Linked DNA regions of Schizosaccharomyces pombe. Changing the gene in region 4 together with the main gene of any one other region gives a genetic interaction. Each region holds a gene or a part of one and is shown on either strand. Other genes may lie near its edges.

Evidence for each region.
Region 1: mutations in trm82 (region 4) and dri1 together harm fitness more than expected from each alone (negative genetic interaction), as found in Schizosaccharomyces pombe (one large-scale study listed by BioGRID).
Region 2: mutations in trm82 (region 4) and ria1 together harm fitness more than expected from each alone (negative genetic interaction), as found in Schizosaccharomyces pombe (one large-scale study listed by BioGRID).
Region 3: mutations in trm82 (region 4) and mca1 together harm fitness more than expected from each alone (negative genetic interaction), as found in Schizosaccharomyces pombe (one large-scale study listed by BioGRID).

Annotation. Positions count from the first base shown.
Region 1 is NC_003424.3:2,008,650-2,014,166, forward strand, and holds dri1 (RNA-binding protein involved in heterochromatin assembly Dri1), read right to left. Parts: upstream 3,057-5,517; 5' UTR 3,047-3,056; coding exon 1,256-3,046; 3' UTR 696-1,255; downstream 1-695. Other genes in the region: rdl1 (RAD51D-like protein 1), read right to left, coding at 1-192; rRNA processing protein Ebp2, read left to right, coding at 4,283-5,284. UniProt on the Schizosaccharomyces pombe protein: Mediates heterochromatin assembly by promoting RNAi-mediated heterochromatin silencing and histone deacetylation. Binds pericetromeric transcripts and recruits the RNA-induced transcriptional silencing (RITS) complex to heterochromatin.
Region 2 is NC_003421.2:287,729-293,910, reverse strand, and holds ria1 (GTPase Ria1), read right to left. Parts: upstream 4,032-6,182; 5' UTR 4,000-4,031; coding exon 3,904-3,999; exon of another isoform or gene 3,849-3,903; coding exon 1,696-3,848; exon of another isoform or gene 1,651-1,695; coding exon 897-1,650; 3' UTR 681-896; downstream 1-680. Other genes in the region: kpa1 (DinB-like DNA repair polymerase kappa), read right to left, coding at 1-467; spb70 (DNA polymerase alpha B-subunit), read right to left, coding at 4,425-4,595, 4,635-4,943, 4,986-5,964, 6,006-6,182. UniProt on the Schizosaccharomyces pombe protein: GTPase involved in the biogenesis of the 60S ribosomal subunit and translational activation of ribosomes.
Region 3 is NC_003424.3:2,983,714-2,990,672, forward strand, and holds mca1 (transcription factor), read right to left. Parts: upstream 5,141-6,959; 5' UTR 4,717-5,140; coding exon 2,623-4,716; 3' UTR 2,297-2,622; coding exon of another isoform or gene 1,073-2,296; 3' UTR 1,020-1,072; downstream 1-1,019. Other genes in the region: SPOM_SPAPB1A11.03 (L-lactate dehydrogenase (cytochrome)), read left to right, coding at 1,073-2,296; U2 snRNP-associated RNA-binding protein Sap49, read left to right, coding at 5,683-5,794, 5,852-6,747.
Region 4 is NC_003421.2:1,976,492-1,981,639, reverse strand, and holds trm82 (tRNA (guanine-N7-)-methyltransferase subunit Trm82), read right to left. Parts: upstream 3,120-5,148; 5' UTR 2,746-3,119; coding exon 2,066-2,745; intron 1,993-2,065; coding exon 1,407-1,992; 3' UTR 1,275-1,406; downstream 1-1,274. Other genes in the region: rpp0 (60S ribosomal protein uL10), read left to right, coding at 1-534, 859-1,011; rRNA processing protein Utp23, read left to right, coding at 3,339-3,426, 3,539-3,628, 3,813-4,417.

The DNA.
Region 1 (5,517 bases), on a different chromosome or scaffold from region 4:
CTTCAATCCCTGAGCATCGAATGATCTAACCAACATAGTTTTTTCAAGACATGGAAGAGGGAGTGCAGCCGGATTGAAAGTACCTAAAGTATCAATCCACATAATTCTATCAAACCTAGAGTAATAACTTTTTAGAATCCAGTAAAGCATCAAGTTTGCAGAATTTCCACTAAATTGAGTAACCTGATTCATAATGTCAGAAAATATATAAGCTGCTTTAAGAATTTGCTTGGTATGCTTTAAACTTTCGATAGAATTGTTTTTTCCAACGATATTGATGATCAATGAAATTGATTTTTGCAATCATCCCCTGGTTATGCTAATGGCATTCTAAAAGAGATAAACACCCAAATGCGTTGAAGGAAAAGATACGTACAATCGTCAAAAATTTCCGGAATGTTCAACAAGTATTTAACTAATCATGAGTGTGTGTTGAATCTTATCTCATGTTTTTTGTTGAACTATCTACATGGATTATATTTAATTAGGGTATGGATTAAAGAAGCAGAAAGGTCGTCAACATTCGAGTACAGTATATAGCCACACTGGTGTGGATTTGTATATATTGAGAATAACCCTTTAAGAATAAAAAGAAAAAATAGAAAAGCATCAACTAACTGTTTTTAAATGCTACATATGCGAATTTAATTCTCTCTAATAATGCCATGTATTACAAGTAACCTCATGTATCGATTGATTTAATCATTATCGTTACAAAATTTTTATAAATTATATAATAAAAAAAAGGAATATTAACAATACATTATTTACCGAAGAACCCTATAAATTTGAACAGCACTGACAACTGTAAGAGGTAAACAACCATTTTTTCAAACGTTCAATGAGTGTGACACTCCAAAACAAATGAATCCCCAAATCCCAAATATGGGAGAGCTCTATACGATTGACTGCTGTTTTTTCCCCGAAAATTTCTTCAAGGTCAAAAATTAAATAGCACTAAATAGAAGAAAAAAACCCACCAAAGAAAATTATGAACTAATTTTGACCACACCTGTAATTCAATGTTTATGCAAAACCTTCATAAGAAAACCCAATACAACTTTTAAATTTTTGTTCCAATAGAGTTGCTTTTCAAAATGCTGCCTTTAAATAATAACAATTGTTTCATCAAATTTGCTCCTTCAAGACATAAGTGATTATTTTTATCGCACTAATCACTTGCATTTTTAGCTATAGTGTTTACCAAATATCCTTTGTACTACGGGACCTATCCATTAAATATAATTGTCCAACTTTACACGTAAGCATTGAAATCCGAAGGCAAGGATGCAGGAATCTGCATATTAGAGTAATGCGGAGCATTGCAACGGAGACAATTACTGCGGCGACGAAAATTAGTAAATCCACACTCACATAACCAATCGCCTTGATCAGTAGTAACGGAAGGACGTGATACTTCTTTAAAGCGTCCATGATCATCGAACCTAGATACATTACCACCATTTTGTCCCCCAAAATTTTGACCATGATTAGCCGTTACTGAATTTATAGAAAGTTGTGAGTAAGGATACACCGAATGATTAGGAGGACTTGTACTCATAACAGGGGGGATGTGAGAATATGAATTATGACTATACGAACCATTCACCGGCCCAGATGCATGATCTGCTACGACTGCAGCTGTAGCACGGCTAGCCCCACAGCGTAAGCAGCAAACATTTTTTGCGAAATTGTGATATCCACAACCCTCAGAGCCACATTTCCAATCACCAGCACGAAAAGGGACATTACCACCGAATGAGCGTGAAGAATGATGATGATTTACAGCATTATTGCCATTCTGATGCTGAAGATCACTTTGCATGGTATTTTCGTTAGAATGATGGACAGATCCACCATAGTTGGCAATAAAGTGAGAGGAGCCGTTGCCGTATGAATTTCCATAAGGGAAATCAGGTGAAAAAGTATTGCTACCAGTAGCAGCTGAAACATGAGTAGGACCAGGAAATGAGCATCGGAAACAAGACGTTCGACGTTGAAAATTGCTGAAACCGCACATTGGGCAATTCCAATCCCCAGGGCGTGGGCGATTCTTACTAGAAGGAAAAGGAATTAGAATGTCTGAAGCTTTATCTAAAACCTTTGTACTACTGGGAATAATTTCCAGCATCCGATCTCCTAAGCAATATCCATTAAAGGCAAGAGCATCGGCAGCATCTTCATGACTAGCAAATAGCACAAAACCTGTACCCGTAGATTTGTAAGGTTCGGGAGTCTTTAAAGTCCATAAAGCTACGGGATGAACCCCATGATTAGTAAACCAACTTTCCAACTCGAGCTGTGTTACATCGTTGGTCAAACCTGCAACGTGTACAATTTTTGACCGTTCTGCATAAAAGCTTCGTGCGTCTGCTTGACAGTTAATGGGTTGTGTAAGCACCGAAGGAAGAGAATGACCTCGAGAATCTTTCTCTGCTTTACGAAGCAATAAGGTGGTAGCATTTGCAAGGCGCCAGCATTGAGTAAGACCTTTGGTTATGTAAGGAGCATCTGAAGGTGATAATTCAATTGCTTTTGACTCTGTAATAGGTGGTAAAGAGTCGACATCTAATTTACCAAAAATATGAGAAAGCGTTATTGTGTATGGTGGTACTGCACCCATGCGAATCTGCCACTTGGCGTATTCGCTTGATAAATCAAACAAGCGAGGATGGCGCATGTAGGAAGGTAGCGTAATTCCCTGATCCCGTGCTTCTTTTGGCAATAATACACGAAGCTCTCTTCCATTCATAACAACAAATGTAAAAGGTTTTCCTTGGAAGTTTAATCGTTCTTGGATTGAATTATCCAATGTGAAGATAGCTTCAGTTAAGGAACTAGCAGAACCACAAATTCCATGACGAGAACTATCTTCACGAATACTACACGATTCACAGTGTTGTTTTTCCAAAGTTTTTCCATCTAATATAACCCAGCATATTTCATGAATTTCACATGGCGCCCGGCCAATGCTAATGCCGTGATCGTCAAGATTTGTTTCAAAGTGCAAAACAACCAAGTCGCCTACCGATTCTGGCAGAGGCATTGTTGGACTTGGTAGCTTTGACATGATATTGCAAAGCTACAAACCCGTTGGTGTTTTTCTTTGTCACTCACAAGTACAGTCACAAAAGTAACAAATCTAGATTTAGAATCCACCTAAGCGGAATTATTCAAAGGAGAAAAATCTTTTATGAACAATAATATGTACAACTGATGTTACTGTCGAATCGTGTATTGTTGTGGGATTCTTTTGCATGCAAAGCAGAAAATTTAGCAATACTTTCGAAACACAATGAAAATGAAAATTTTACGATAAATTATTATACCATAATTTAGCGCATCAAGCATTTGGTATTCTTATGTCAGCAATACTACACTACGTTGAGTATCACTATATGTCACATGTTCTAATTATATATCGTACCATGTATAATACGATATGGAGATTGATCTTAATGATAATCTATTAAGATCAATATTATCTGAATACTATAAATAGAGCTACTGCTGAACCTCGTTCCTCAGTTCAGTTATGAGCTATATTAGTGATAGTTAACATTATAACCCAGTTAATACAATACCTATACTCAGTTGCTACTTATACAACCTGTGTATTGTAATATAATAGATCACAAGGAAAACTCACCGCAGTTCTACGTATCCTTAAATCAGATACCAAACTGCGTAGCTTACATCTTATGAACAATACCGGGGTTTTTTGTAACCACGTAAACAATCAAAGAACTGTTGTTTATTTTGACAATTGTATCAGGAAGTCAAGGGAAAAGTTATACTGAAAAGCCATCCATTGAAAAGTATTTGTACATCTTGCTACATAAAAAAGCTGATAGTAATTTACTTACACAACTGATAATTTACTAAATTACCGTCATTTCAATTAGAGTTGGTGTAATGTAGCAAAACATAAATTTATCAGCAATAACTCTACAATCGATAAAATGCGACCAAGTTATAGCTTAAAATTGATACAACGAATTTTATACGGACAAATAAAGGGTTAAAATTTACGTTAAGGATTTATTAAATGCCTTCCGTACAACCTAAATGAAGACTAAGAGTAATATAACGCAACGTTAATCAGCTTAGCGATTCTAAATGTGCTCTTTATTATTTGATGTGAACTGCAATAGTAAAAATCTTTGTCACCGTTAGCCTAATCGTAGATTGTATTAATCAAAGTAGCACAAAGCAAATTTTTCAAAACCTTTGAAAAATATTCAAATTCAGCTTTGTGTAGAATACACACTAGACTACAACGATGGCAGGAATAGAATCAAAGCAAAGAAGAGCTCAGAAAAAGGCAGCTAAAGCTGCTATGAAGGAAAAGAAAAACAAGGAAAGCAATGAATCTTCTACTTCTGTTGAGGCATTAAATGAGAAAGAAATGATCAATACCATTAAATCTCCTATTATTGAAACAGCTGATACAGCTGATCAAGAGAACGAATCTGAGGGATCAGATGAAGTTGAACTTTCTGATCTTGAAGGAATTGAGTTGGAAGAAGACGCTGATTTGATTAGAAAAAGAAAATTAGCTATAAATAACACTGTTGCACTAGAGAACATCTATGAACGAATTAAATATCCTGATGATATTTCGTTTGTTGAAAACCAAGCTGTTACTACTAAGGAGCCTATAATAATTGAAAATGTTGAGGATGATCTTGCCCGTGAACTGGCCTTTTATAAACAAGGTGTGAGCTCTGTAAAGGCGGCTTTTGCCAAACTTCGTGAGGCGAATGTTCTAATTTCCCGACCTCATGACTATTTTGCGGAAATGTTAAAGTCCGATGACCACATGGAGAAAGTGCGTCAAGAGTTGATTAAAGAAGCAACCGCTAAAAAACTATCCCAGCAAGCTAAGAAACAACGAGAACTCAAGAAGTTTGGTAAACAAGTTCAGCTTGCTAAACAAGAAGAGCGTCAACGGGAAAAAAAGGAAACCCTCGAAAAAATTAACCTTCTCAAACGAAAGCATACTGGAGGAGATCTTACCACTGAAGATGACTTTGATATTGCTCTTTCATCAGCCTCTGCCGATACATTTAAAAAAGGTAGCCGTAGTACGAAATCACGGCCACAGCCTAATCCGAAGCGACAAAAGAAAAATGAAAAGTATGGATTTGGTGGTCCAAAGCATCGCAGCAAAAGCAATGATCTCGACAGTCTTGCTGCTACCGAATTTGGGAGAAAAGGTCTTAAAAACATTAAATCTAAAAAACGTCCCGGTAAGGCGCGACGTGAAAAGGCTAGAAAATAATTGGGGTTTATAAGGGGTCTATAAATAACTATATCTTAGGTTTAATATCATTATTTCTTCTTTACAATAGGTATGTTTCGTACTTCAGTCGAGTTTGAAGGCGATATATTATAAGAAGAGCAACAAGAATTTTGCAAAAAAAATGAACAGTTATAAATATTAAATTATGTAATATACAATTAGAGCCGATCACACAATAAATTCTAAAAAAATATCAAATTCTTGCACCGTTT
Region 2 (6,182 bases), 1.7 Mb from region 4:
GGTAAAGACTTAAGTTTTGGATTCTTAAGTTCCTCTATTGATGCATAAAACGCATCACAATCAACATGAACAATTATTTGGGTCAAATCTCGTTTAGCCCTAAAATCCTCAACAGTAGTATCCACACTTTCTTGTCTAATGGTCCACTCTCTTTGAAACGCTTTATCAAACCTTAATTTTGATTGGTATTTTTCTACCTCAACTTGAACCTTTTCTATTCTTAAACGAAGTTCTCGGTCTCGTTTTTGTTCGGCTTCAAAAAACTTACTTCCTTTGGAAGCTTCGTAAATTATCTCGTTAATCTTTTTTTGATTAACATTTTCCTGTCCTGACTTGAGAACAGAAGGGCCTGCCAATCGTCGTTTTAAAGTAGCTTCTTCATCTGAACTACTGCTACCATCATCTTCAATGGTAAGTAATCCATTCTCCTTTATTGTTTCTCCTATAAAATCTTTTGCATTTTCCATCCGTCAAAAAACATTAAGGCGAATAGTTTTCAAAATACTAGAATTTGAATTAGTACAAAGATGTGTTTGTGTTTTGGCGCGTCGCGTCTGTAATCTATCACCTTCTAGCGATTACGCAGTAGAGTATATCATTATTTGTATTATGCATATCCCACAACATCGGTATTTTTTGGAAATTTGAATTTGTATTAACAATTTAAAACATAACAAAAAGAAGCCTAAAGAATCTTGCATGTGCGTTTTACACTATTCATCTTATAGACTTCTAATCTTAGTCCCATAGTTCATGAAACACTTAACTCAAAATCACAGCTACCTCAACAATGTAACAAAAAAAAAAAAAAAAACATTACCTCCATCTAACCAGGTCATTGTCATCAAATTACAATCTTTTCGTTTTCCTAAAGAAATTGGAATCAAGTACTATCTTTAATGCTTCAGTGTCCTCTGCTTCTCTGCCTTTTCAACAATCTTTTGCTCTACCAATAAGCCTTTCCTTTTTCGAACGTTCAGCATATAGCGCTTAGCAATATTTTCGCGATCGGCTAACTCGCCTAAATCTTCCAATTCCTCCTCAGTAGTTGGAACCCAAAAGGGATTCTCGTCTAGCATCTCAAAACCATGGAAGATTAATTGAGGATAGGCAGCACCAGATGTCCTTTTCAAAATTTCTACAGCGAATCCAAAGGATTCAACAACTGGAATCAAGGCTTTTACAATAAAAAATGGAGTCCCTTCCTTCATTTCTTCATCAATTACTCGTCCTCGTCGCTTCGAAACAACACCATATACCCTACCCAAGACTTCAGATGTGGCCTGAACATCGCAAGAATACATGGCTAGCATAAGTCTCGGTGACCAACCTAAAAATCCATGTCTAATAGACTCTTTCACTACCGAAATAACTTGACCGGGGATTTGGGGATTATTGATGGTAAGTAACTTACTATCTTCCGAGTCATCAGATATGTCAAACTGATCGATTGACACACAAATGCCTTGAACGGGTTCAGCACACAATGGTCCCTGGTGCGTTATTAGTTGAAATGCAGTAACTACATATTCAGAAAGGTCTGAGGGTATTAATTTTGTTTCATCGCTTTGTCGTCGAAAATCTCTCATCTTCTTGGTTTTGTCAAAAAGTATATTAGGACCCACTCGTTTGGGGCCAAACGCAATGATACTAGTATTGTTAGTAATCAACCAATAGAACACTAGTATAACCTACCTATCCAAATGATTTTTCAGCTCGCCTAAGTCAGAGTTCTCTTCCTCTAAAAGCTTGGAAAGCCTTTCATAAAACTTCTCAGGAGTCAACACTTCCTCCATACTTTTTGTTAAAGATTCCGAGACAACAACGTTTCTATTTTTCTTTGAAAAATTGCTGCTAACATTTTCAATTGTTTTAGAGTGCTTCAGCAGAAAATCTACGACAGACCCAGAAAGAGGTGTTACTGTAATTCCAATCGTAACTCCGCCAACTGGTAACGTTGCAGTGACAAAGCCAATACTCAGTTCTTTATTTTTTGCTAATAAGTCGGGTGTAGCTATGGTAGTTTCCCGATATGGCACAAGTGGCTGAGATGCTTGTATTTCAATTTTTGCAAACCGTTCCCTAAGGTCTTTTAAACATCTTTCCAAATGAATCTCTCCGGCACACATAATTACATGCTCTCCATTTTCTTCAACGGCTATTTGAACACATGGATCGGCTTGATTAAGCATGTCAAGGCCAGTCACTAACTTGTTCATCTCAAATGGACGAACAGGCTCTAAAGCGACCCGCACAATGGGCTCCATTTGCTGAGTTACGCCCACTAAATTAGGACCATTTGGAGATGAGCATAGTGTTGCTGTTCTCAAAACCGTTCCGGCAAGGCCACCGATTGCGAAAACGTTACCAGCGGGAACTGTCTCTAAATAAACTAGCTCCTGTCCCATCATTAAATATAATGACTCAACCGTTACCTTGGTAATATGTTTTTCAGGATTGACTGGATCATATTTTGGACCATAAACATATACTTCCTGTCCAACTGAAATTGTGCCACTGTATATCCTAGCAAAGCCAATTAAAATGTCCTTATCATCGTCCATGTCAGTTGTGCTACCTTCTAAATTGTCAGAGTTGGTAGAAGAAACGTTTTCCTCAATAGAAATGGTATTTATGCCGCTCTCAATTGATTCAGATAATTTTGAACGTATCAATTTCATCTCCTCAGCACTAAGTTGTTTGCGACGATGATTAGGAAGATCTCTTTCAGAAAAAGCTACCATTTTACTTATGTATACCAAAACAGGCTGTTCCTTACTAGCGTCACAACTTTCCATAGCCAGTGTAATATCTGGATCTATCATTTCGTAATGAGGAGTTGAACTCAAAACTTTCCTAGCTCGATTCGCTTGGGCGTTAATAGGAGAAGGAATTTCCCTAATCGCTGTTAACAAAATTGCAGTTGATAGTGGCAACCACTGTTGAAAAATCGCAAGTAGCAAATTTCTAGGGTCTTTGGATTTGATGTCACGGGGAAGAACTTTAATGTTTAATGCCTTAATGATTTTCTCAATGTTTTCAAGGTTCCTATTGCTCACAGCTGATTCATAAACAGCCCAGAGGTTTTCGAGAACAAATTGTACAAACATTGGTTTTAACCGTCGGCCTTGAAGATGTTTGGGCTGAAGAACTCTTTTAGTTTTAGGGTCTAGATAATAATCACCCCAGAGACATTTTGTAAGTGCTTTTTGTTTTAATCCAAGCTTTTTTTCGTAAAATTCTGAAAATTGGTCCAAACAAAATGCCCAGCCATCGTATGCACTAGCAAACACAACGTTTCCCTGTTCAGGTGCGAAATATATACCTTCATCACTGATGACTTCGTCGTTATCAGCTAATTGCATAAGCTCACCAGTATAAAAGGTGCCAATGACAGCATTTACTTGTTCAACAAGTCGAAGCAAATGATAATGAGCTTCAATAGGAGACAGTTTCAGTTCAGTAATCAAACGATCCATTTTGTTAATGACTAAAATCACCTTTATACGGTCTATCCATGCTTGTCTAAGGACAGTAATTGTTTGACTACAAACACCCTCAACTGCGTCTACTAAAACAAATGCACCATCGCAAAGCCTTGAGGCCGAAGATACTTCAGAACTGAAATCAACATGACCAGGAGAATCGATAAGATTAATCAGGTAATCTTTTTCAACTCTTTTTTCATCATTTTGGCTTATAACTTTAAAAAACAATGAAATGGCGCTAGACTTCATAGTAATACCTCTCGTAATTTCATCTTCGCGAAAATCAAGAAAACGAACAGTACCAGCAAGTTTGCTAGATATGATTCCATTCGAAGCTAGTAAACTGTCTGCAAGGGTTGTCTTTAATTAATCATTAGCAACTATTCAAAAAAGTTTAAAATTGCAAAATTCATACCTTTCCATGATCTACATGAGCAAGTAATGTAAAATTACGAATATTTTCCTGATTTTTTTGTAAGGACACAAGCTTTTCTGGAGGAATAACAGGCATTTGCACTACTTCCCCTATGTATGTTGGAGGTCAACTGTAGTGACTAAGTAGGTTGAGATGTGAAACACCAAGACTAGAGTCCAAATCGAAAAAATGTTGAACATTCAAATACTACAGTATAAAAGGAATACTCATTCAACTATAAAACAACGACTAAAAGTTCGCGAGTAGCGATTTGAGATATATCAGAGATTGTCTTAGACATTTGAGGAAAATGGTTAAATTAACAACATAAACATATGAGTAATTTTGCAAACAAAATTTGAAGAAAACCAAAATAGCGATAGATAGAAAATGAAAGCTGAAAAGTTAATTAATTCTAACGGTCTATGGTAGACATCTACATAAATAATGATAACCAATGATATTTAACGCTGAATTTTTTATATTTTCAATAAATTCCGCAGAAAAAGAGAGTATAATTATCATAGTTTTAAAATTTCTGCCTTGGTTCGAAGCCATACACGATGTGAATAATGATTAGAAGAACCATTATCCCCGAGCTCTAATGGCGCGATAGTTAATTTTGCAAAAGTGCCCAAATTAATCCCTTTGGTCGCTTTACCAGGATTCAATGATACAACGTTTTCAACGTTCTATAACATTAGTTAAAACAAAGTAGAAAATTAACATACCTTTACGAAATAACGTAAATCACTTGGTAAAATTAGTATGTCCGGCATAGTATTTAGGAATTCACCAAGTTTAAGATGTGCGATATCTAAGTTTGAAGGGTTGCACTTTTCAAGAGAACCTCCAGGGAATAAGGGATAAAAATGCCTTTGGTGAAGTACGTGAGAAACCAAACGTGCAAATAAGTTACCATGAGAAGGTAGACGAAATAACTCTTCTCTAGATGTGTGAAGGAGTATATCGTTGGTTGACACACCAAAGACGACATCATTAATGGAAAACATGCAAGGATTCGGGAAGCATTTGAAGTTCTATGGATTGGTCAATAAAAATTATTATACAACTTAACATACAGATGGAAGACCTAAGGCCACCCGATTAAATGCATCCTGTGGCCATGCAGGATGATCTGAAGCAGCATCATTGATGTGAGGAATTAAAATACAAGGACAAGTTAGCTGGCTTAATATGGGTGTGACACGCTCTTTAAACAACTCTTCCAAAGAAGTCGCAGACGTTCCTGTAATGTTTCCGGTACGTATTAGTATATGATTAATATCCAAGAATGGACCACATAGAATAACCAAGTCAACAGGATTTTTATTTACATATGAAATCATTGATTTTAAAGGGGAAAAAGAGAGATCATCACGGAGAGACCAAGGTCCAGATGCAATATATATAGAAATTGGCTGATTATTTGTATTAGCAACAAAGGTAGCGTGCTCCTGTTTAGATGAACTTGGGAACGGCAAAGGAGGTATAGGAAGGATTTCCTTGGCGATAAACATGTTACCGCTAGGATTGGATCCTTTAACTGAAACAATTTGACCAGGAAATATTGAGTAACTTGGTAGATCATCCACCTTCAAACGAACTCGAACACCAGCGCCTAGACGTCTTGAACTTTCAAGTAAAATGCTATTTTGGTTGAGTCTTCCACCTAAATTGGTACTTTCGACAACAATTCGTCCTACAACTACAACGGGTTCTTGAGTAAGTTCGCTAGGATTTGCCAAATCTTCATCACTTATGTTGTATTTTCTGCAAGTTAATGCACTAAAAAGCTCAATGCGATCATCCAGAACTTCAGAAGAATCATAAAGCTTTTGATACATGATCCTGTAATTAAATGCCTTGAGATCAAAATTCGCTACGATAACCAGCTTGGATGGAGCTGAAGGTTTTGAAGTTACAATTTTTAATTCTTTATTTAAAACTTCCAAAACCCTTCCAGCGTCACTGGAATTCAATTCGAAAGTTTCGGTAGATGGTTTAGACTCTTGCATCAACGAGTCGCCTGATGCGGTGGTCTTCACTGGTAGACCTAGTCTAGATATTTGTTAGTTAAAACCATTTGCTAATGTACGCACATGCTATCAATATTCATTCCCGGGATTTGCTTTATCGATTTTCTTTCAGGATTCTGTTTAAGTGTGGCTTTTACCTGCCTCTCCATTTGAAATTTCATGTCTTTAGCAAAGGCCTTGAATGTGTCAAGGTCGAGTTTTGGTGTATTTCCTCGTTGCAAACACCAGGACTCCCACTTG
Region 3 (6,959 bases), on a different chromosome or scaffold from region 4:
GTTTCAGCGGCGTTTTCGGAGCAACACAGGGTCGTAGTTATGTCTGTTGTCTTGTTACATACCAAACATTATTATGTATTATTGACTTGATCACCTAAAGAGTTCATCCTTTGTCATTTAGACGTTGAATTGAGTGTTGAAACGTAAAAGTAATAACTTTTTTTTTCTTATTTAACATTATAATTTTTTACAATATCGGTCGATACGCTTTCCGGACATCAAACCACCCCCTTTAATTCTGGCCTCCTATAGCCTCTTTAGCAAAGAATAGATTGAACGGTTTAGCAACATGTCAAAGTTGCAGAACAAGACGAATCCATTTGCAAAATATTAATTACCAACCTCATTACGATATTATGCTATAAATAATATGCTTAACTTACTCACCATTATATCGTTATAAGATATGTCCTGTTGGAAAAACTAGCTAGAGAAACCCACGGGCACGTGGGCCTTTTAGTAGCAGGTAAATCAATGTCAGTATTACTTTGTATATTGTAGAAATGAACCGATTTCATGCTAGCCGTTTTGCCATCGTAGTATAAGAAAGGATGCTAAATGAACATGGACTTTGTAGCTGAGCGCAATACATCTAAATTCATTAGGAAAATAATTAATGAAAGGTTTCATGAAATCATCTCTGGTTGTTTCAAATTTGGACAAAAACGGGATTTCGCTTTTCCCAATGGGTACGGAAAGCGAATTCGTTTACAAATGTTTTAATATGAAACTTGAGATGTCATATTTACATAATTTCGAAAACCAAAAGTTATAAATGTAGCACTGAATTGCTGTAATAAAAAACAATATAAACTATTACTTTTAAATACCACTTTATCTGTTAAGAAATATTAAAAAAATACAACTTCGCCTTTATACACTCCTCGTCCCAAGTTGAAATTGTCGGTCCGATATTTTCACTCATTCATTGCAATATCAGAAGACTTTTGAACCTTAAAAGTTAAGAAACTCATCATTTTAATTTCTATTACTTTTTTACGACATTTTTGGATTCTTCCCTTTCTCGAAGACATTATCTAAGTAATCAATAAATTCTCAATACGATTTAACTATGTTCCGCAACTACAATTGGTTTGACGCAAAAGAGCCCATTTCATATGAGTCCGAAATTTACGCTAAAGGTCTCAAGTTTCAAAGACCCCAAATCACCGTAGATGGCAGACACTGGGAGCAACTGGCTGTTGAGCGAATGACCAAGGATGCCGCCGGCTACGTTTACGGATGTGCAGGAAAAAGAGAGACATATGATAAAAATATGGAATCCTTTAAGAAATGGTCCATCATTCCTAACCGTCTCATCAAGTCTGGTTTCCCCGACTTGTCTACCACTGTCTTTGGCCAAAAATATCCTTTTCCTATTGCCTTGGCTCCTGTAGGAGTACAAAAAATTTTCAATCCAGAGGGTGAAAGTGGATCGTGTGCCGCTGCAACTAGAGAGCATATACCCTATATTATCAGTACTGCGTCTGCAACCAGCTTTGAAGATATAGAAAAGGCTAGTGGTCCTGGAGAGAGATGGTATCAACTTTATTGGCCAAGCAATGACCATCAAGACATTACCATTAGTTTGCTCAACCGCGCCAAGAAAACGGGCTGCAGAGTTTTGATAGTTACTCTTGACACATTTATTCTTGGATGGCGTCCCTCAGACATGGACAATGGTTACGATCCATTCTTAAATCCTGACAGCATCGGTGTTGAACACGGATTTTCCGACCCCGTTTTCCGTAAGCAGTTTAAGGAGAAGCATGGTGTGGAAGTCGAAGAAAATATGTTAGAGGCAGCTAAAGAGTTTGCTGGAATTGTCTTTCCTGGAATCAGCCATGATTGGGAAGACTTGAAGTTCCTTCGTAAACATTGGGATGGCCCAATTGTTCTCAAAGGTATCATGAATGTTCCTGATGCTAAGAAGGCAGTTGAATATGGCATGCAGGGCATCGTTGTATCAAATCATGGCGGTAGACAACAAGATGGAGGTGTTGCTTCCTTGACGATGCTACCAAAGATCGTAGATGCTGTTGGTGATAAATTAGATGTTCTATTTGACTCTGGTGTTCGTTCAGGTGCTGACATTGCCAAGGCCCTTGCATTAGGAGCTAAGATGGTTTTAATCGGTCGTCCCTATGTTTACGGGTTAGCCCTTGAAGGTTCATCCGGTGTTAGTCATGTCATTCGTTGTCTCTTGGGAGATTTGGAATTAACGCTACATCTATCTGGTATTGTATCTGTGAAACCAAAGGACTTAAACCGTGATGTCTTATATAAGGAGGAATAAATTTATGCATTAGTTAATGATCAGCAAATTTAGTTTAATTCCCGTTATACCATTTAATATTTATTTACGCTATGAGTAATATAAAACTACCCATTAATAAGAATATGAGTAACTTATATTAATAAGCATAAAAAGCAATCAATAAGTGTTATGAGAAACTGACTCAAGTAACCAGTTCCATCAATATCATTAATTTCGAGTTCGTGAATAAAAGGAATTCCAGGGGTGTAGAAAAAGTAAAGCATTATAAGCTTTTTAAATTAGAGTGCTAGTATACAAAAGAATAAAGAAACAAAAACTAAAGAAACTATTGTACATCGTATAATTTACAATCGAATACTTCTTCCATTCATGTCTTCGAACACCGTTTCCTTAAAACCCGCCTTCCTTTCTGATCCAAACATTTCCTCCCACCAGCGACCGTCATCTAAAATCGAAGTGATCAGTGGGTCTACGGGGACTTCCTCATCCAGAATAGTATCAGTTCGTATTTCAGAAACACCCATAGCAGGTGTCGAATTCCCACTTTGAGTATCATCGCCATTATTCAAAAGCTCGTTTGTTCCTCTTGAAAACAACTCTTTTGAAAATGAATTCAGATCAGGATTAGACTTCATCGACTGATCTTCCACTATACCATATTCTAGAATACATAAAGGAAATCCTGGAATTTTGAAATTGTAAAGTGACTGTTCCTCTAAATACTGAAAGCGGTAGAAATTATACAATCTCTGAAGAGTTACCAACATTGCTTGATTAATTTTCCAATATTTGGATCGATCCTGTAAAATCTGATGATCAACGTGTACAAGTCGAGAGGAAGAAATGTAATTTTGGTCGATGTTGACAACACAAAACTTAAGAAGCATATGGATAGTAGCAGCAGTCAATATACTAAACCCCACAAATGGGCTCATTATGTAGTTTAAGGGGTCCTTTGAAAGTTTTGTAATGAAATCAGCAGAAGTAATGACTTGATCTAAAATCATATCCATCCATACAGTAGGAGGCTGTTGTCCGAAGCGTTGTGAAACAGAGGAAAAAAGTTTGGATTTCTGCCTCGACTTCTCAGGAAATAAATCTAAGACGTTTCTCAGAAGATAGGTCAAGGTAGTGTGATATAGCAAATGCATAAAAGTGTAACAGGCACCAGCCGATTCTCCGGGAGAACTATACGCCGAATAGTTAGTGTATGACCAAACTGCTCTTGGAGGTAAATTTTCATGCCAGGCTTTTAAAAGCTCAAAGCTACGATGGAATTGAGACTGATTTAGCCAAGGGGGTGTGATATCTTTCGTGTATCCACCACATAGAGCCCATCTTGAGATCTCACTCCACAAATTTGACAAGCGGATTAGGGAACCCGTCATAAACTCCAGTTGTAAACTTCTTTGGTATGGGGCCATTGAAGTGGTGTCTGACTGAGTGTTTTCCGGTAAAGATCCATCAAATAACTCAGTAAGAATTGGCTGATTAAATAAAAAATTAGGTTCCGGACAAGGTAATTGTATACTAGTCTTTTGAAGAGATAAAGAAAGTGAGCGCAATTTTGAAGGTGCCATGTAACCTGTACTTAGCAAACGTTCGACAAAAAAACAAGCCCAATAAACCCTTCTTTTCTGCTCGGCTTCAGTCCATGAAACAGTGTTGGATCCCATCGTAAGAGGATTATCATTTATTTCGTTACCAAGATCTAAAGAATCGACCATACGGAGAGCCATACCCAGTAAAAGCCAGGCTTTAGCGCCTCTACAAGAGCCCAACTCAATTAAGCAAAGCAAGAGCAGGCAAGTGATATTAGTCAGTGAAATATCCTGGAAACGACAAGGAAGCAGTGAAAAGGCTTGGTTTGCGTAGTAATCAGATGCTGCAGTTGAAGATTTAAATCTATTGACTTCCTCTTGACTGAAACGAGCAGCGTGAGCACATATACAAAGTACGAGGACTGGCGGAGCAGTATCACTTGCAATTTGAGACGTAATTTGGGCCTTATTAAATATCCCAAAAAGTTCGGTATATGAAGTTTTAAGAAATATGTCCCAAAGCTGTAATAACTTTCTACTGGTTGGTAGCCTTAACTGCTTCTGATAGTCACCAAAGCTATTAATAGAGTAAGTAAAATCCATGTTAGGAGATGATGGAGAGAGGATCGTAGGAGAAAAAGGATGAGAGCCCAGATACGGTTGCACTATACCAGTAAGAGGACTCAAGGTTCTGGCAGCGGAAGATGGCTTTTTGCCTCGCATATTCGGTCGATCAGGCCAAATGCATTCAACTTTGTTGTTACTGCAAGCTTGACATGATGGCTTTTCACCAGAACACTTTATTTTTTTCTGCCTACACCGAATGCATGCCTGAGATACTTGACTGATTACTCGCCTTTTTCGAGGCACAGCATCTTTTTCGACAGCAGCAATCATGTCGAAAATAAAATACTAAAATGAAGTAATAAAATATTCTGTGTCCTTTTAAACCGTTTAAAAACCTAGATAATCGAAGAAATCCTGCGTTGAGTAGACAGGTCTTAAAAAAGAAAAGAAAAGAAAAGCAGACGTGCCAATTGTCTGATCGTACGTCTGTTAGAAAAAGCTCACGAGCTTAAATCAGAAAAAATAAATAAGCAATAAACGTAAAGGCTACGAACAGTCCTTTCGAAAAGTTTGCAAGTAGAAAATTAAACATAAACAATAATAGACTTAAGTGAAAGAAAAAAGGGGCATCTAGGACTACACAAGTACGCTTTTTCAAAACACCAACATCACAGAAATATTTTGATTAAAAACACACTCGAAAAGCTATAAAATTCAACTGAAGTCGTGGTATCACCTGAAGGGTGAAGATCATAAGAAGGTTACAAAGACCACATGGGAGTAAAAAGCCCATCTAGGGTAACATAAATAAGCCCTCAGTTGTGTTCAAAACTACAGCAGCAAAAATAAATATACATGGCCAAACATCGTTTTTACAAAAAGTTAATAAATGAACCTATTAAATGTACTAGTGTACGATGGATGTAAGGAAATTAGGGCTGTATAAAGAGATAGGTTGCTATAAAAAATATTTCGTCAGTCTACCATTCACAACTGTACCTTCAACTTGAATATAATTCAATCTCATGAGTAAAATTATAAAATAATAAAAAAAAAACGAAGATTTAGTATTAAAAATCTCCATAAATGTGTTTGGAAAACGCTGGACACTGAAATTTTAACGATGAATACTGTAATTTAGTTTTCTATTGTGCTATTTGGTGCTCGTCATTAAGTCAATAACGAGACTATGCACCAATTTCTTGAATCTTCTACCAGCGTCTTCAAACGTGTCTATCTATTTATTCTAATAAATTTCTATAATAGACACTTTAACTTATTTTTACTTATTTATTAATGAGTATTCGAGAAGACAGGAATCAGGATGCAACTATATATCTTGGCAATCTTGATGAAAAAGTAACGGATTCTATTTTGTTTGAGTTATGCCTGCAGGCAGGTCCAGTTGGTATGTAATTATTCGAGTGTTGGTTGTATTTGTGGCTTTCGATACTAATTCATACAGTAAATATTCATATTCCAAGAGATAGAGTAAGGAATAGTCATAATGGCTTTGGTTTCTGCGAATTCTTACACGAACAAGATGTTGAGTATGCATGTCAAATTCTGAATCAAGTAAAGTTGTTTGGAAAGCCTATAAGGGTCAATAGAGCTAGCCAGGACAGAGGAGTCAATACCTTAATTGGTGCAAATTTATTTGTTGGCAACTTGGATCCTCTTGTTGATGAACGCGTATTGTACGATACATTTTCTGCTTTGGGACAACTTGTCAAGGCACCTCAGGTAGCAAGAGACGAGAATGGAAGGTCGAAAGGTTATGGTTTTGTTAGCTACGATTCTTTTGAAACCGCTGATGCAGCCATTGAGGCCATGAATAATCAGTTTTTAATGAATAAACCAATTACCGTGTCATACGCCTTTAAACGCGAAGGAAAGGGTGAACGTCACGGAGATATTGCGGAAAGAAAGCTAGCAGCAGCCGCTAAAAAGAATAAAGTTGCCGTTACTCCTCAGAGTACTCTGCCTCCAGGATTTTCACCCGCCACTCCTGCTCCAACATCTGCTGCTAATACTCCAGCAACAATTGCTGCTACATCGATACCTCCTGTACCGAATGTTCCTCTAGTGGGAGCAACTACTGCCGTCCCTCCCTTGTCAATACCTAATGTTCTTCCTTTCACTGCTGCACAGCATTTCCCTGGAATGCCTGCTATGCCAATGATGAATGTTCCAATGGGCCCTGGAGGTGCACCACTTGTCCCCCCTCCACCACCAGGAATGGTGATGGCTTCTCCTTCTCCTGCTGCTGCTACCATACCTGGTGCTCCTGTAATGCCAAACATACCATTTTATCAAACAATCAATGCACAAAATGGATACAGTCAACAACAAAGGAGGTAAAATATTTTAAAAAGAAGCAAAATAACTACCATTGTTGCTCAAACGCCGGCATAGTAAAATAGCTGAGATTGATCCGTATGGTTGATTTTTTTTTTAACGTGTACAGTAAAAAAAGTGGAAGCTGAGATTTATCTTATTTAAAAGAAATTAAAATTGATGTTTGTTTATATTTTACAGTTTGACTTTTTCTAGTAATGAGTTTTACTTCGTCC
Region 4 (5,148 bases):
GGTTTCGTCTTCACCAACGCTGATTTGAAGGAAGTCCGTGAGACCATTATTGCTAATGTTATTGCTGCTCCTGCTCGTCCTAACGCCATTGCTCCCTTGGATGTCTTTGTCCCTGCCGGTAACACTGGTATGGAACCCGGTAAGACCTCTTTCTTCCAAGCTCTTGGTATCCCCACCAAGATTACTCGTGGTACCATTGAAATTACTTCCGATGTCCATTTGGTCTCCAAGGATGCTAAAGTTGGTCCTTCCGAGGCTACTTTGCTTAACATGTTAAACATCTCTCCCTTCACCTATGGTATGGATGTTCTCACGATCTATGACCAAGGAAACGTCTTTAGTCCTGAGATTCTTGACGTCTCTGAGGAGGATCTTATCGGTCACCTCTTGTCTGCTGCCAGTATTATCACTGCCATTTCCTTGGGCGCTAACTACCCTACTATCTTATCCGTTATGCACTCTGTTGTCAACGCTTACAAGAACTTGGTCGCTGTCTCTTTGGCCACTGAGTACACCTTCGAGGGTACTGAACAGGTATGTCCTATAATATCAAATACTTCAAGGAGTTTTAAACCTTTTGTTATAAATAATGCCTTTTCTTTGAGGTTCAATGAAAAAATATATATTTTTGAACCTCCTTAATCTTTTCGATGCTTCTCCATCGGCAGATTTCGTTGAAGGAGCATTATATATGAAACAATTGTTTTGCAATGCGTTTTGATGAGGATTATTTTAACTCGCTAAATTTTCATGAGCGCAAAGTTTAAACACTCTAATTTTTTGCTGAACGCTTGTATACAATTAAACTCTTTGAATCATTAAATTATTTTTGTACTCAGTTCACTAACTTTATTTTAGACTAAGGCTTTCCTTGCTGATCCCTCTGCTTTCGTAGTCGCCGCTGCTCCTGCTGCTGCTGCTGGTGGTGAAGCTGAGGCACCCGCTGCCGAGGCTGCTGCTGAAGAGGAAGAGGAATCCGATGAGGACATGGGTTTCGGTCTCTTCGACTAAGCTTTTTTTGTTAGATAGCACTAATGGATGTATCTCGTGTTCTTTAGGCCTTCTAAAAACAATTTGCCGTTGCAAGTATTATGTAAAGTATTGTCGTAGCATGTAAATGGAAGGAATTGAATAAACGATTAATTTTACTTCTTCAAATTGCTGACGTTGCACAACTGAATAGCAGTTGCACTTATGCAGTAGATACAAGTTGCGTTTATTCGCATAATTATTAATCGCTGACTGTATTTATACTTCAAAATTCTGGGTTTCTCCAAAGAAATTAAATGCTCTCCCTATTATACTTTAATGTCACAATCATTTTTATTCATATCTATTTTCCATATTTACTGATGCTCCCACTTTTCCCAATTATTTTTTTTGAGCCGGTCTCCCTAAAATGAGCTTTAATTATCTTTAGATTCAACGGATGGCGAAGATGTACCGGTTTCAACACTGCGAATGAATTTAGAGTGGTTCTTGCGTAATGTGTGAATTTGAGCGAGCGGGCAGAACGGCTTTTCGGTTGATATTAAACCATCAGATTCTATACGCTTTATTACATCGGGTTTCGTAAGAACAGCCGCATTCCCTTCATCAAATTTCACGCATTCAAAACATGCACCAAATGTAAAACTAGAGTCCAAAGAAATGAGAATTTGATCAGTATCCGTGTCAAGCAAAACAGCGTCAAGAACAGGCCCTGACAGCTTCAAAGCAGAATGAAACAACAGTCTCTTTTCAGGTGTCACCTTCGCGAAGATAAGACCCGCCATTCCTTCACACGCAAAAGCAACAAGCTGGCGCTTAAAAATAGGAAGAATAACTGAAACCACCATTGGTTGATTTAATGAGAGATAAGTGGAAAAGGCAGATCGTAGATCGAATGCATCCAAACATTTGAAATTCTCTAAATCCCATACGAAAACGTGATTATCTCCACCGCCAGATATTAGAGTACGATTGTCATATAAGGACATCCTAGATACAAAACTAGGAAAAGGCGTTAGTGTTATTTAAAAAAAAAAAAAAAAAATTGATCAACTAAAACCAAATGAAAACTTACTCTTCATGACCTAAGCAAAACCCTTCAATGACAAATGCATTGGGAAATCGGGAAATACGAATATGCTCGTCTTTATCTGAAGTAATGATTATTTCTTCTTTAGAATTTTGTGGATTTTGAGCAACTATTAATTGAGTTAAGATCGAAACATGCCCCATAATGGGTTCGAGTTTTTGCAATTTCGAATCCTTTAAAGTGTCATTATTAACAGGTTCTTGTTTTCCTTCAACCACATTTGACTTTTTTTCTTCGGTAACTTCAGAAGTAGTAAACCAATTTTCGTCTACACAATAGACATCACCAAACTTATCACCAAAAACAATTTCGTTTGAGCCCGCAAAGCACAAGTCAGCACATCGCTTTGGTATGTTTTTTTGATAAAGAAGTTCAATTTTATCAGGCTGAGTGCTATCCCAAAGGCGCAAACATTTGTCTTCACTAACTGTTGCCATACGAGAATAGTCTTTAGAAAATGCGACTTGACGAATCGCTTCTCCATAGGCAGCTGCCTCTCTATGTTTTTCATTTATATTGTCTCTATAACAATGTTCAAAAATTTTTTCCCCTGTAGAGCATGAGAACCCCAATAGATATGGACCTGAACAGCACACGATGTAATTGTGTTTAGAATTCCATGTTAAAAATTGACAAGGGTGCTTAAAAACTCGCTGTTCACTCATGTTTTTATTGATTGATTCTTAAGAAAATAGAAGCAACAAAACAAACACTTCAGAAATAAACCTCTAATTTTTGGATCCGAATATATTTACAATTTTATAAAAAGAAGAAAAAGAAGCTTTAGAAGAAAGAAAGTAATAATGACAAATCTTTCAAATAATAAAAAGCAAAGCTTTAAAATTATTTACGCAGTAGAAATGAAGAAAAAGTATGATAAGGGTAAATAATAGACTGAATCCTCTTTCTGCTTAATACCGTTTCCTTACAAATTTATCTAAATAGAGAAATAAAAGAAGTATACACTCAGTTCGAAGCCAAGTATCTCACTTAAGTTAAATAGTTAAAGCGCCCAAAATTTTAGTACGTGGGTGAACTTGGAAAGTACAAACTAGTTGGAAATTTCCTAATAAGAGGATTTCAGCAATATTAGGGTTCCTGGATACTTCTTTTAATACGATTGAATTTATTTTTTTAATATTTCTAATAGTAACAAAAGACTTTTCGTTTTTGAGCGAAAAAAAAAATTCTTAAAAAAACAAGTGATCTAAAGCATATTAAGTCTTAGGCTGTGTGACGCACAGAAAAGGGCGTAAATATGAGGCAAAAAAGGGCAAAGAATTACAGAAAGCTGATGCATACGTATCAGCTTTTATTTGGATTTCGTGAACCATATCAAGTACTCGGTATGTGGTACAGAAAATGATGCTTGTAAAGATGCATCCTTACCCAAGTTCTAATTTGCAAACAATAAGCATTTTCTTTTTGGTGATGTTATTAAACTAACATGATTTTTAGTGGATGCAGATTTCCTAAAAGATTTATCTCAACAAAAGATTGATATACAAGCTGCATTAGCTAGGACTGTTCAAGGAGCTATAAAACCTAGTAAGTTTTGTTTATAAGTGTTTTCTTTTACTGGAAAAAAGGGCGAACCCCCGGAATATGAAACAGAACGGAAAGTTTAATTATTCAACATAGTATCTTTTCATCCGGGTCTGGTTTATTATTTTCTTTCCTTATGTTCTCCTTGTAAATTATTATAACTAACGGATTTACTAACTGACTATAGTGATTACTCAATGTTGTATTCGGCAATTGTACAGTAAATCCGATGAATTGAAGCAAGAAATTCGTATCGCAAAGTCTTTTGAGCGAAGGAGGTGTGGTCATATTGATGAAGCACTCTCTCCTTCAGAATGTATTCAGAGTGTAGTCAACATTAATGGTCGGAACAAGCACCGCTATGTTGTTGCTACCCAAGACCCCGAGCTTAGGCAAGCTCTTCGTTCGGTCCCAGGTGTTCCACTTATATATATGAAAAGGTCAGTTGTGATACTAGAACCAGCTTCACGAGCTACGTTATTAGAAAAGCACAACAAAGAATCCGTTCAGATGGGCATGTCAAAAGAGGAAAAGTTGTTATTATCCGGAAAAAAGCGTTCAGCGAATGAACTGGCTATCGATGATCAAGATACCAAGGAAAGTACGGATTTAGCGGGAACAGAGGATTCTGCTCCAAAAGCCAATAAAAAACGCAAGGGTCCTAAAGGGCCTAACCCTTTAAGCATCAAAAAGAGATCATCAAAAAACCATACAACGGATGAACCTACTTTACCTGTAAACATAATAGGTGATGTTGGTGAAAGAAAAAAACATCGTCGGAAAAGAAAGTAGACTGCTTATTGTTGGAAATTAGCATATGTATATATTTAAAAATAAAATTTTTCGGGATAGGTTTGCCTACAAGTGTTGTCTACTAATATAACGCTATCATACATACAATGTTTCTGATTCAACCCTTCCTGTGTAAACAATACTTTCAACTAACGCTTGTGGCTAAAGAAACGAAGAAAAAAAATTGGGTATAGGCACAATGTAAATATTTACGATGTAATCATCACAAATGTAAAGTTGTAAACCATTTTTCATCTAGATTCAAAGTCGTTTAAAGCGAAAGAGAAAAGGAAGCAATTATCCAAGCGACCTAAAAAAGCAGTTTCAACCAAATTTAGCTTAAAGAGAAAATTGAAATTTTTATTCGACTAAATAAAAGGTTAGATTATCTTAAAAAGATTTCAATCGTTGATATATTAGGGGAGAAACTGTAAGCCCAGTTGTGAATGCTAACGTATTTCAGTAAAAAAAATATCGCAGTTTACTGGCCTAAATACATACTTTGCTAACAGTTTTCTATTAACCCAACAGGACCTTAAATCTCTGCATTCTTTGTATTGAAAAGATCATACTGTTCGTGGATTTGCGCGTTTATGTAACGTTAAACTCGAATAATTTGCATTTGGCGGTCATTTTCGTTCTTGCGATTGATACAGATTCTGAGCTTTAACTAGCGCTTATTTGTATTACAACACCAAAGGAGCATAAATTGTTTTTTCTTGCGAATTCGT